2 linked regions of the Mus musculus genome follow. The protein of the gene in region 1 purifies or fractionates together with the protein of each later gene. This does not show direct contact. Links are inferred from orthologs where the notes say so. Each region holds a gene or a part of one and is shown on either strand. Other genes may lie near its edges.

Evidence for each region. Proteins that work in one complex are often made in the same cells at the same time.
Region 2: the proteins of Eif2ak2 (region 1) and Zfp346 purify together in Homo sapiens (affinity purification with mass spectrometry; 3 studies listed by BioGRID and IntAct, with this or other methods). This does not show direct contact. The link is inferred for Mus musculus from reciprocal best matches to the Homo sapiens genes EIF2AK2 and ZNF346.

The regions. Positions count from the first base shown.
Region 1 is NC_000083.6:78,851,203-78,856,245, reverse strand, and holds the end of Eif2ak2 (interferon-induced, double-stranded RNA-activated protein kinase), read left to right. Parts: intron 1-846; coding exon 847-903; intron 904-984; coding exon 985-1,107; 3' UTR 1,108-3,696; downstream 3,697-5,043.
Region 2 is NC_000079.6:55,114,196-55,119,476, forward strand, and holds part of Zfp346 (zinc finger protein 346), read left to right. Parts: intron 1-1,284; coding exon 1,285-1,429; intron 1,430-5,281.

The sequences.
Region 1 (5,043 bases):
AAAGGAAGATAACATTGGAGAATGAGTAATTTTTTTTTTTTTTAGAAGACAGAAAGTCTGTGGGAACAGGTAAAAATCTTTCCAGAAGTCTGGATTTAGGTTTCATGGAAGCACGTAAGTTAGGTACTGAAGGGTCAGGTTGTTTGTTGGTTGGGTTTTTTTTTCTGGGTTTTTTTTGGGGGGGGATTATTTAAGGGCATACATACACATACAAATACACACACACATACCCATACACACGTGCACGCACGCACACACACGTGCATGTATACATGTGCTCTGGTATGCTCATGGCAGTCAGAAGACAACTAACCCGAGCTAGCTCACTCTAATGGTTTGAAATAAAAAGCATGCAACCTTGCATAGAGATAAGAATGTGCAGTGAGTGCTGGGGCTGACAGGTTGGGTATGGTTTTATCTGAAGCTGGTGACTGGTGGGGCTGGAAAGGGTGTGGGCTTTGTCGTGTGGGTGGTGGGGAATCACTGGAGACAGCAGGCTATTGGGCATCCTAGTTGGAAGCTCAGGAAAAAAAGGCTTGCCTGGAGTGCAGAGCCTTATCTTCCCTAAAATAGGCGTGATGGCGGGATGTACTGCCTAGCATTCCAAACAGAGGGAAATGATGAGTCTTGTGCACCAATCTATCTCGTCAAAGCATTGAATGTTAAGGATGGTCATACGATTGGGGTAGGCTTGGGGAGGGCGTTTTGCTTGCTTCTTAGACTAGAGAGTCCACCCTACATTTTAGAAATCTTCTAGATTTAGTGTGTCTCCAGGTATTATTGTGTTTAGTTTTTCTTCCCATGTCAATCACTGCCTAGTAAATACATCTATTTGTGGTATTTCAGTTTTTCGAAAGTCTAAGAAAAGGCGACTTCTCTAATGATATATTCGACAACAAAGAAGTAAGTCCTTGAAAGCTATCAGGTTGATTTTTTTTTCCACTATTTTCTTTCCCAATACTGACTCTTACCTATCATTAACAGAAAAGCCTTCTAAAAAAACTACTCTCAGAGAAACCCAAGGACCGACCTGAGACATCTGAAATCCTGAAGACCTTGGCTGAATGGAGGAACATCTCAGAGAAAAAGAAAAGAAACACATGTTAGGGCCTTTCTGAGAAAACATTCCTCTGCCGTGGTTTTCCTTTAACGATCTGCAGTCTGAGGGGAGTATCAGTGAATATTATCCTTCTTTTCTTAATACCACTCTCCCAGACAGGTTTTGGTTAGGGTGACCCACAGACATTGTATTTATTAGGCTATGAAAAAGTATGCCCATTTCCTCAATTGTTAATTGCTGGGCCTGTGGCTGGCTAGCTAGCCAAATATGTAAATGCTTGTTTCTCGTCTGCCCAAAGAGAAAGGCAGGCTCCTGTGTGGGAAGTCACAGAGCCCCCAAAGCCAACTGGATGAGGAAGGACTCTGGCTTTTGGCATAAAAAAGAGCTGGTAGTCAGAGCTGGGGCAGAAGGTCCTGCAGACAGACAGACAGACAGACAGACAGACAGACAGACAGACAGAGACACAAAGACATGGACTAGAATGGAGGAGGGAGGGAGGAAGGGAGGGAGGGAGAGAGAGAGAGAGAAAGAAAGAGAGAGAGACCACATGGAGAGACAAAATGGCTTAAGTTAGCTGGGCTACCTGAGAGACTGTCCCAGAAAACAGGCCAACAACCTTCCTTATGCTATATAGATGTCTCAGTGTCTTTATCATTAAACACCAAGCAGGACTGCTAAAAACTCTGCAATAGGGTTTTTTTTTTCCTGTTACTTCAAAAGCAATCTTACAAAGTTATTTTTTTGACAATTCCATACATGCATTGTGTTCTGATCCCACTCTGAACCCTCTGCCATTCATGCCTTGTCTGTCATGTGAACTGTTGCCTCTGAATGTGGGGGTCCAAATTAACCCTCTGCCCTTGAGTGGCTTCTCTCAGGTAGTGATTGTGATGAGAAAAGTAATGAGATGCTGGCAAAGATGTGCAGAAAGAAGAACACTTCTCCACTGCTGGTAGGATTGCAAGCTGGTACAACCACCCTGGAAATCAGACTGGAGGTTCCTCAGAAACACAGTACTACCTGAGGACCCAACAATACCACTACTGGTCATATACCCAGAAGATGGTCCAACATGTAATATGGACACATGCGCCACTATGTTCATAGTAGCCTTATTTATAATAGCCAGGAGCTGGAAAGAACCCAGATGTCCCTCAGCAGAGGAATGGATACAGAAAATGTGGCACATTTACACAATGGAGTACTACTCAGCTATTAAAAATGAATTCATGAAATTCTTAGACAAATGGATGGATCTGGAGGATATCATCTTGAGTGAGGTAACCCAATCGCAAAAGAACACACATGATATGCACTCACTGATAAGTGGATATTAGCCCAAAAGCTCCAAATAACCAAGATACAATTCACAGACTACATGAAGCTCAAGAAGAAGGAAGACCAAAGTGTGGGTGCTTTGGTCCCTCTTAGAAGGGGAACAAAGTACTCACAGGAGCAAATATGGAGATAGAGTGTAGAGCAGAGACTGAAGGAAAGGCCATCCAGAGACTGTCCCATATACAGAGACTGGGAATTCATCCCATACACAGTTACCAAACCCAGACACTATTGTGGATGCCAAGACATTCATGCTGACAGGAGCCTGATATGGCTGTCTCCTGAGAGGTCCTGCCAGAGCCTTACAATACAGAGACTGATGCTCACAGCCAACCACTGGACTGAGTGTGGGGTCCCCAATAGAGGAGTTAGAGAAAGGACTGAAGGAGTTGAAGGGGTTTGCAACCCCATAAGAACAACAATATCAACCAAGCAGACCCCCCAGAGCTCCCAGTGACTAAGCCATCAACCAAGGAGTACACATGGCTCCAGCTGCATATGTAGCAGAGGATGGCCTTGTCATGTATCAAAAGGAGGAGAGGTCCTTGGTCCTATGAAGGTGCGATAGATGCCCCAGTATAGGGGAATCAAGGGCAGATAGGTGGGTTGGAGGAACACCCTCATAGAAGCAGGGGGAGTAAGGAAGGATATGGGGATTTCTGGGAGGGGTGGAAACTAGGAAAGGGGGTAACATTTGAAATGTAAATAAAGAAAATATCCAATTAAAAAAAAAAGAAAAAGAAAAAAGAAAAGAATAGTAATAAAATGGTACAGGAAGTAGAGTTATATTGCAATAAACCTACTGTTGGGCTTTCAGGACTGGTTTGTGGGAGGAATGTGAAAAAGTTTGAAGCCCCAGGTTAGAGAAGTCCTCAAATGGTATACGTCAAACTTACTGTGGTAGCTCAAAAGTCTCCTGAGAGGCCCTGCTTGGAGTTAGCCTTGTAGAGGTCCAGTCTTTCCTTGTTGTTCTTTCAGACTTGCTTTGTAGAATATTGGTAGTTACTTTGTGCCTTTGTATGCTGTAATAGTTGTTTTATAGGGCCTCACAGCTAAGAGTTTCTCGCTGCTTCTCAAAGCACTTTGGACCTTTGCATGGAGTTGAGTATTAAGATTATGGGAATTTCTGAGGTGGGACTGAAAGCATTTTGCATTATGAGATGGCCATGAGCCAACAGAGACTTGGACACACTCCTCCACTGTCAACCGAGGCTTCTGCCAAATCTTCCCTGTCATGAAGGATTGTATCATCTGAAATTGAGTCTAAATAGATAAATAAATAAGTAAATAAATCTCTCCTCTCTTAAGTTGCATCTGTTGGGCTTTTAGTGACAAGAAAAGTAGCTAACATACTGTTTACAGAAGTCATGTCAACAAGAAGCACCCATAATGCCTTCAAAGGGAGAATGAATTTGAAATGCTATTTACTTATTGGAGAATGAACTGAAGCTAGATGTAGTAACAGTATATTAACAGCATGTTAAGAGAAAAATATTTTTTAAATGTTTATGGAAGGAAACCATTCACAAGTTGATAGAACATTCCAGAGCATACAAAACAAAATCATTTTTAAAGATCCCCTCCCCGATTTTTGGAATCTCAGTAAGTAGGACAAGCTTTTACGCAAGGGGTTTGCCATCAGAACGCAGGTGTTGGGAAAGCCACCGCTAATTTAAAGCAAAAATGGGGAAGGAAAAGACTCACATCAACATCGTCTCCGGCAAGTCCACCACAACCGGCCACCTGATCTACAAATGTGATGGAATCGACAAGCGAACAATCGAAAAGTTTGAGAAGGAGGCTGCTGAGATGGGAAAGGGCTCCTTCAAGTACGCCTGGGTCTTAGACAAACTGAAAGCTGAGCGTGAGTGTGGTATCACTATTGACATCTATCTCCCTGTGGAAATTCGAGACCAGCGAATACTACGTGACCATCATTGATGCCCCAGGACACAGAGACTTCATCAAAAACATGACTACAGGCACATCCCAGGCTGACTGTGCTGTCCCGATTGTTGCTGCTGGTGTTGGTGAATTTGAAGCTGGTATCTCCAAGAATGGGCAGACCCACGAGCATGCTCTTCTGGCTTACACCCTGGGTGTGAAACAGCTGATTGTTGGTGTCAACAAAATGGATTCTACCGAGCCACCATACAGTCAGAAGAGATGTGAGGAGATCGTTAAGGAAGTCAGCACCTGCATTAAGAAAATTGGCTACAACCCTGACCCAGTAGCATTTGTGCCAATTTCTGGTTTGGAATGGTGACAACATGCTGGAGCCAAGTGCTAATATGCCTTGGTTCAAGGGATGGAAAGTCACCTGCAAAGATGGCAGTGCCAGTGGCACCACTCTGCTGGAAGCTTTGGATTGTATCCTACCACCAACTTGTCCAACTGACAAGCCTCTGCGACTGCCCCTCCAGGATGTCTATAAAATTGGAGGCATTGGCACTGTCCCTGTGGGCCGAGTGGAGACTGGTGTTCTCAAACCTGGCATGGTGGTTACCTTTGCTCCAGTCAATGTAACAACTGAAATCAAGTCTGTTGAAATGCACCATGAAGCATTGAGTGAAGCTCTTCCTGGGGACAATGTGGGCTTCAATGTAAAGAACGTGTCGGTCAAAGATGTTAGAGAGGCATTGTTG
Region 2 (5,281 bases), on another chromosome or scaffold:
TGGACCGTTGTTAGGCTCCGCCCCTACCACCCAGAGGGTTATCCAAGTGGACAGAGTAAAGGGACACTGCTGTTCTTGAACTGTGGAGAAAAACGAAGTTCAGCATTTACTTGACAAATGAGGACAATAAATGCCTTCTCTGACACAACGCAGTACACTTACTTTATCTTAGAGTTGCTGTAAGAATTACAGAGAAGCCAGCCCCAGTTCCTAAGTGTGCTGTGCCTTTCAGAGTGTGGGCATTCTGCACAACATGGTGAGAAAGTCGGTGGGCAAGGCTCCTTAACGTATTAGATAGGAAACCTTGAGCAAGTCACCTTATCTCTCGGGAAGTCACTCATAGCTTGCTCATGTTGTGAGGTAAAACTTCAGTACCCAGGAAATGGTCAGTAACTACGAGATTGCTCTCCAGACTGCTGGTTCCTGTTACAGTGGCCAGTGGTTTAAAGGGGCCTTGCGTGCCCCTTTCAGAAATCACCTCCTGTTTGCCCTTATGGTTTAGATCCACAGGGGCACGGTCATTTCACCTTTCTGCTTCAGTTAGATGACTGAGTAGCTAAGGTGAGATCACAGCACCCACCACCAGCTAGGAATCGCCAAGCCCAAACCATCTGCAGTGTGAAGGCAGAAAAATGTTGAAGAGACACCTTGTTCAGCGGACATTCTTTTGAAATACACTTTCTAGCATAACTATAGTAACAAGTAGAACACACTGACGTGTTTTTTCTAAGAGCCTTGGGTATCTACTGTGTGCTAGACACAGCAGGGTACAAGGGTAGGAAACAATGAGTCAAGTTATCCACGTCCAGCATTGCACTTAAGCTCACATAAAAGGCTCCTCAGCTGTAATGCTGTCCGTCAGGTGACAAAGGCTGTAATAGTAGTCTGATACACTCTGGGAACACAGGTGAGGAACAACCTTAACTCTTCCTGGATAAGCACAGCACAGGCCTTGGTAATTGTGTACCAATGTTTTTAAGGTAAAAGTCACTGAATGGCTGATAGCAGACCTAATTAATGCCAGGCAGGAATAAGGAGGAACATTCTAGAGAGTAGGAATAACCCAAGAAAATTGAGGAAGTGACAGAATAAAATGGGAAATTATGCATGGAGCCTGACGTGAAATAGCTGGAGAAGACTCTGTAAAGGTATGTTTCAGTTATGTTGTGGGTAACATGTGAAGGTGGTCTTAAATGTCCACCAGCCAATGGGCAGTGGGGAACCATTGGAGGTTTTCTGGATGGGCACTGGCATGATCAGACCTGTGTTCTCTCTCCCAACCAGAAGAGCAGCAGAAGCAAAGACAAGAACCACTGCTGCCCCATCTGTAACATGACCTTTTCCTCCCCTGCTGTGGCACAGTCGCACTACCTGGGGAAGACCCACGCAAAGAGCCTAAAGCTGAAGCAGCAGTCCACTAAGGGGGCAGGTACTGCGCTTCCTGAGTAGTGCTTGGGGACCCCCTCCCATTCTCAGGGCACCATTGCCAGCAGTCTACTAAGGGGGCAGGTACTGCGCTTCCTGAGTAGTGCTTGGGGCCCTCCCATCCTCAGGGCACCATTGCCAGGTGCTTCCAGAATGCTCACTGGAGCCTCGGAATGCAGACTGGGACTCAGTTTTCAGGCTTTTGAGAGTTCTGAAATATCCAAGTATGAGTTGGAGATATAAGTCAGTTGGTGGAGTACTTCCCTAGTGTGCACAGAGAATACTTCCCTAGCTTTCATCCCCAGCCTTGCATAAGCCAGATGTGGTGCACACTTTCAGTCTCAGCACTCACACCATGGAGGCAGCTACCATATGGAGTTTGAGCAACCTGGGTTATGTGAGAGCCTGTCTAAAATACATACATACCATAATAGACCCTGCTTTACTGAGATTGGGCCTCAGATGTGGTTCACTTTACTTCCTTTTGTGTGATTCTATCAGATGTTATATAGAAGCTTCTTAGCCTATAATTACTGTCCTGAGCAGTAATTGTAACTCAGGAGGGCCAAGGGCCTGCTGCATACTGTGAGCATTCTGCTGCCTGCCTCCCTCTACTTATTCTGTCCCACCACCCACCTGTTCTTACTGCTAAGAGTTGCCAGTTGATAGCTAAATCATCCTCACAGACTCAGGTTATGCCCTGCTCACTTTGACCTGCAAAGGCTGCCTGTTCTAAATGCAGGCTTGCCTTCAAAGCAGGCTACTCTAGCAAGCTGTTTGCAGCTGCTGTGAATCCACTCCCCAGCACTGACTTCACATTCAGCCTTCTTTGTTCTCTCGTCGTTGGTACAGCCGTCACTTTCATCCTGTTAACCCTGAATCCTGAGGTTTTTAACCTAGGCTAACTGCAGTTAGTCATGAGTGGGAGGCCACTGGTGTGCATGCATGTGTGTGTGTGTGTGTGTGTGTGTGTGTGTGTGTGTGTGTGTGTGTGTGTTCGTGTGTGTATTATTCTCCAGTTTGGACCAAGACCACGCTAGTAATAGAACTTTTGATCCTTTTGTTTTATTTCATCACTGAAGCAAGACAACAGTGTCTTAGAAGGTTTTGGAGATATGATGGAAAAGTCTACTCATAGTTATACCCAAACGTAGTTATTCATGGTCTGAAACAGTAGAATATAGATTGAGTCAGAGCAGCACAGACTTAAGTCAGGCGCTTTTCTTTACCATTTGTGTCTGTACCCTCTGCACCTGTAAAGTGTCAGTGCCACCTGCTTTGGAGCTTGTGAAGATCATTACGGCTGCCCTGGTACACATCGCCATTCCCAGCATGGGAAAGAGGAGGCAGGAAGGTCAGGAGTTCAGTGCCACTTTGGCTGCCAGCTTTGAGACCAGCCTGGCCTATATGACACCCAAAAAGATAAGAGGCAAACACCCCTCACTCAAAAAATGCCTAGGGTACAGCAGATAGTCACTGAACAGCTGTCATCACTGTTGTTACCATTAAAAAGCCAGTGCATGGAGCCTCTTGTAAAATGCAGTCATTAATCAGGAAGCCACCCTTGCAACCTTCCTAATGCTGCGGCCCTTTACCGCAGTTAATGTATTAAACAGGCCCTCGAGTTGTAGTGACCGCAGCTATGAAATTAGTTCCGTTCATAACTGTAATTTGGCTACTGTTATGAATGATAATGTGAATATCTGTGTTTTCCGATGCACTTAGATGACCCTTGTGAAAGGGGCATTCAGTCCCAAAGGGGTCATGACCCACAAATTGAGAACCCCTGATCTAGAGCCTGCCATAGACCTTGATCATGGTTGACCTGTTGACTATGGTGAGTATTGATTGATTTTTGTCTACGCTGAGAACCTGTAAACAGCACATGACATGTGAGCATTAGGCCAAGGAAAATGATCTTAGCTGAGTTTCTAATGCCACAGACTTACCTTCCCATGGTGGGAAAATTTGGTGGAATATGACTTCTCCTAATACTTCTGTTCTAAACAGTAACTTATCTTCCATATTCACGTCCAGCCATTGCCACATGTAACTTTGTGTTGCAATTAGTGCATCAACCATGTGTATTCTGCTATCACTTTTCATTTAGCCTCATAGTTTAAAGATACATCCATATTGTTCATGGGTTTACTATAACTCCAATCCTGAAACTGAGCATTTGTGTGCTATGCAAGTGAGACAAACATGCTGTAGAAAATACAGAGAAAGTGCCAGGAATTCCCATAACTTTGCCATTGCAGACTAGGTGATGTTAACCTAGAGTCCTGGGTTCTTACAGCCGTGTGCACCACGTGTGTTTGTGTACCTGCTTGTATTATGTTTGTTTGTTTTCTGTTCATCCAAGTTGACTCCATATAGAATATATAATTTCTGTTTCTGTAAAAACTATGCACATATGTGAATAATTCCAATTCAACATGCAAAACATTCAAAGAAGCAGACAATATTCCACCCAAGTCTTACTTCTAGGGAGAGCATTGTCAGCAGTGGCTCCTGCTTATAGGCATCCTGGCTACAAGCAAGTTCAAGACCAACCATATGTTACACGACATACTGTCATGCATACGTGTACATATGCGTGAAGTGTATATATGTATGTATAGGTGATATTTTTAAATGCTAGTATACTTATATAGGTTATACAAAAACCTTTTAATACTGATATGACTATATTATTATAATATATTAAACCTTCTTATATATTTCTTCATTTAATATAACATTTCCTCATGTTGGGGCTAGAGAAATGGCTCAGCAGTTAGAAATGTGTTCTATTCTTGCAGAGGTCCCAAGTTCAGTTCCCAGCACCAGTGTGGGGCAACTCATAACCCTGGTAACTACAGCTCTAGAGCAGTCCATCACTCTGGCTTCCAGGGCACTGCTCCACATGTGCACGTATCCATACAGGCACAAAGGTCAGAGACAATCTTTGATAGCACACTTTGTGTATCTCAAGTATTTCTTAAGAGAACGCTCTAGCTCTCGCTGGCCCTGGGTGTCTGTTAACAGCTGCTCTGGCTTACAGCTCACTGCGTTCCTCCCCTCCAATGCGGTCTTTCCTTAAACAATAGTATTTATTTTTTATGTATATGGATGTTTTGTCTGCTTGTATGTCACTATGTATGTGCACTGCCCACAGAGGACACCAAATCTCTAGGACTGAGTGAAGTTGCAGGTGGTTGTGAAGCCACCATATTGGTGCTAGGAATTGAACCCAAGTCCTTTGGAAGATCAGTCAGTGCTACTAAGCACTGAGCCATCTCTTCAGCCTCACCCTCTAGAATGTTTTAAAGAACAACCTTGGGCCCACAAGATGACTCAGTAAATCACAGTGTTTGCCACACAACCCTGGGGGCCTGCGTCTGACTCTCTGAACCCATGTTGAGGGGTGAGGAGAGAACTGGATCACAAAGTTGTCCTCTAACTTCCACACATGTACTCTGGCATGCACACTATGTGCACACACCTATGACTGCACAAACACACACACACACGTTCAATAATAATAATAGGTTAAAAATGTTTTAAAGTGGGGACTGGAGAGACAGCTCAATGGTTAAAAACACTGGCTCCTGGTTCAATTCCCAGCACCCACTTGTGTAACTCTAGCCCCAAGGTATCTGATGCCTTCTTCTGGCCTCTGTGGGCACTAATATACATTCAGGTAGACATACACATAATAAATAGATGAATAAAATTTTCAAAATAATCTAAAAAGAGTAAAAAAAAACAAAACAAACAAAAAGCCAGGCAGTGGTGGCATACACCTTGAATTCTAGCACTCATGGTCTAGAGTTCAAGGCCAGCTTGGCCTATAGAGTAAGTTCCAGAATAG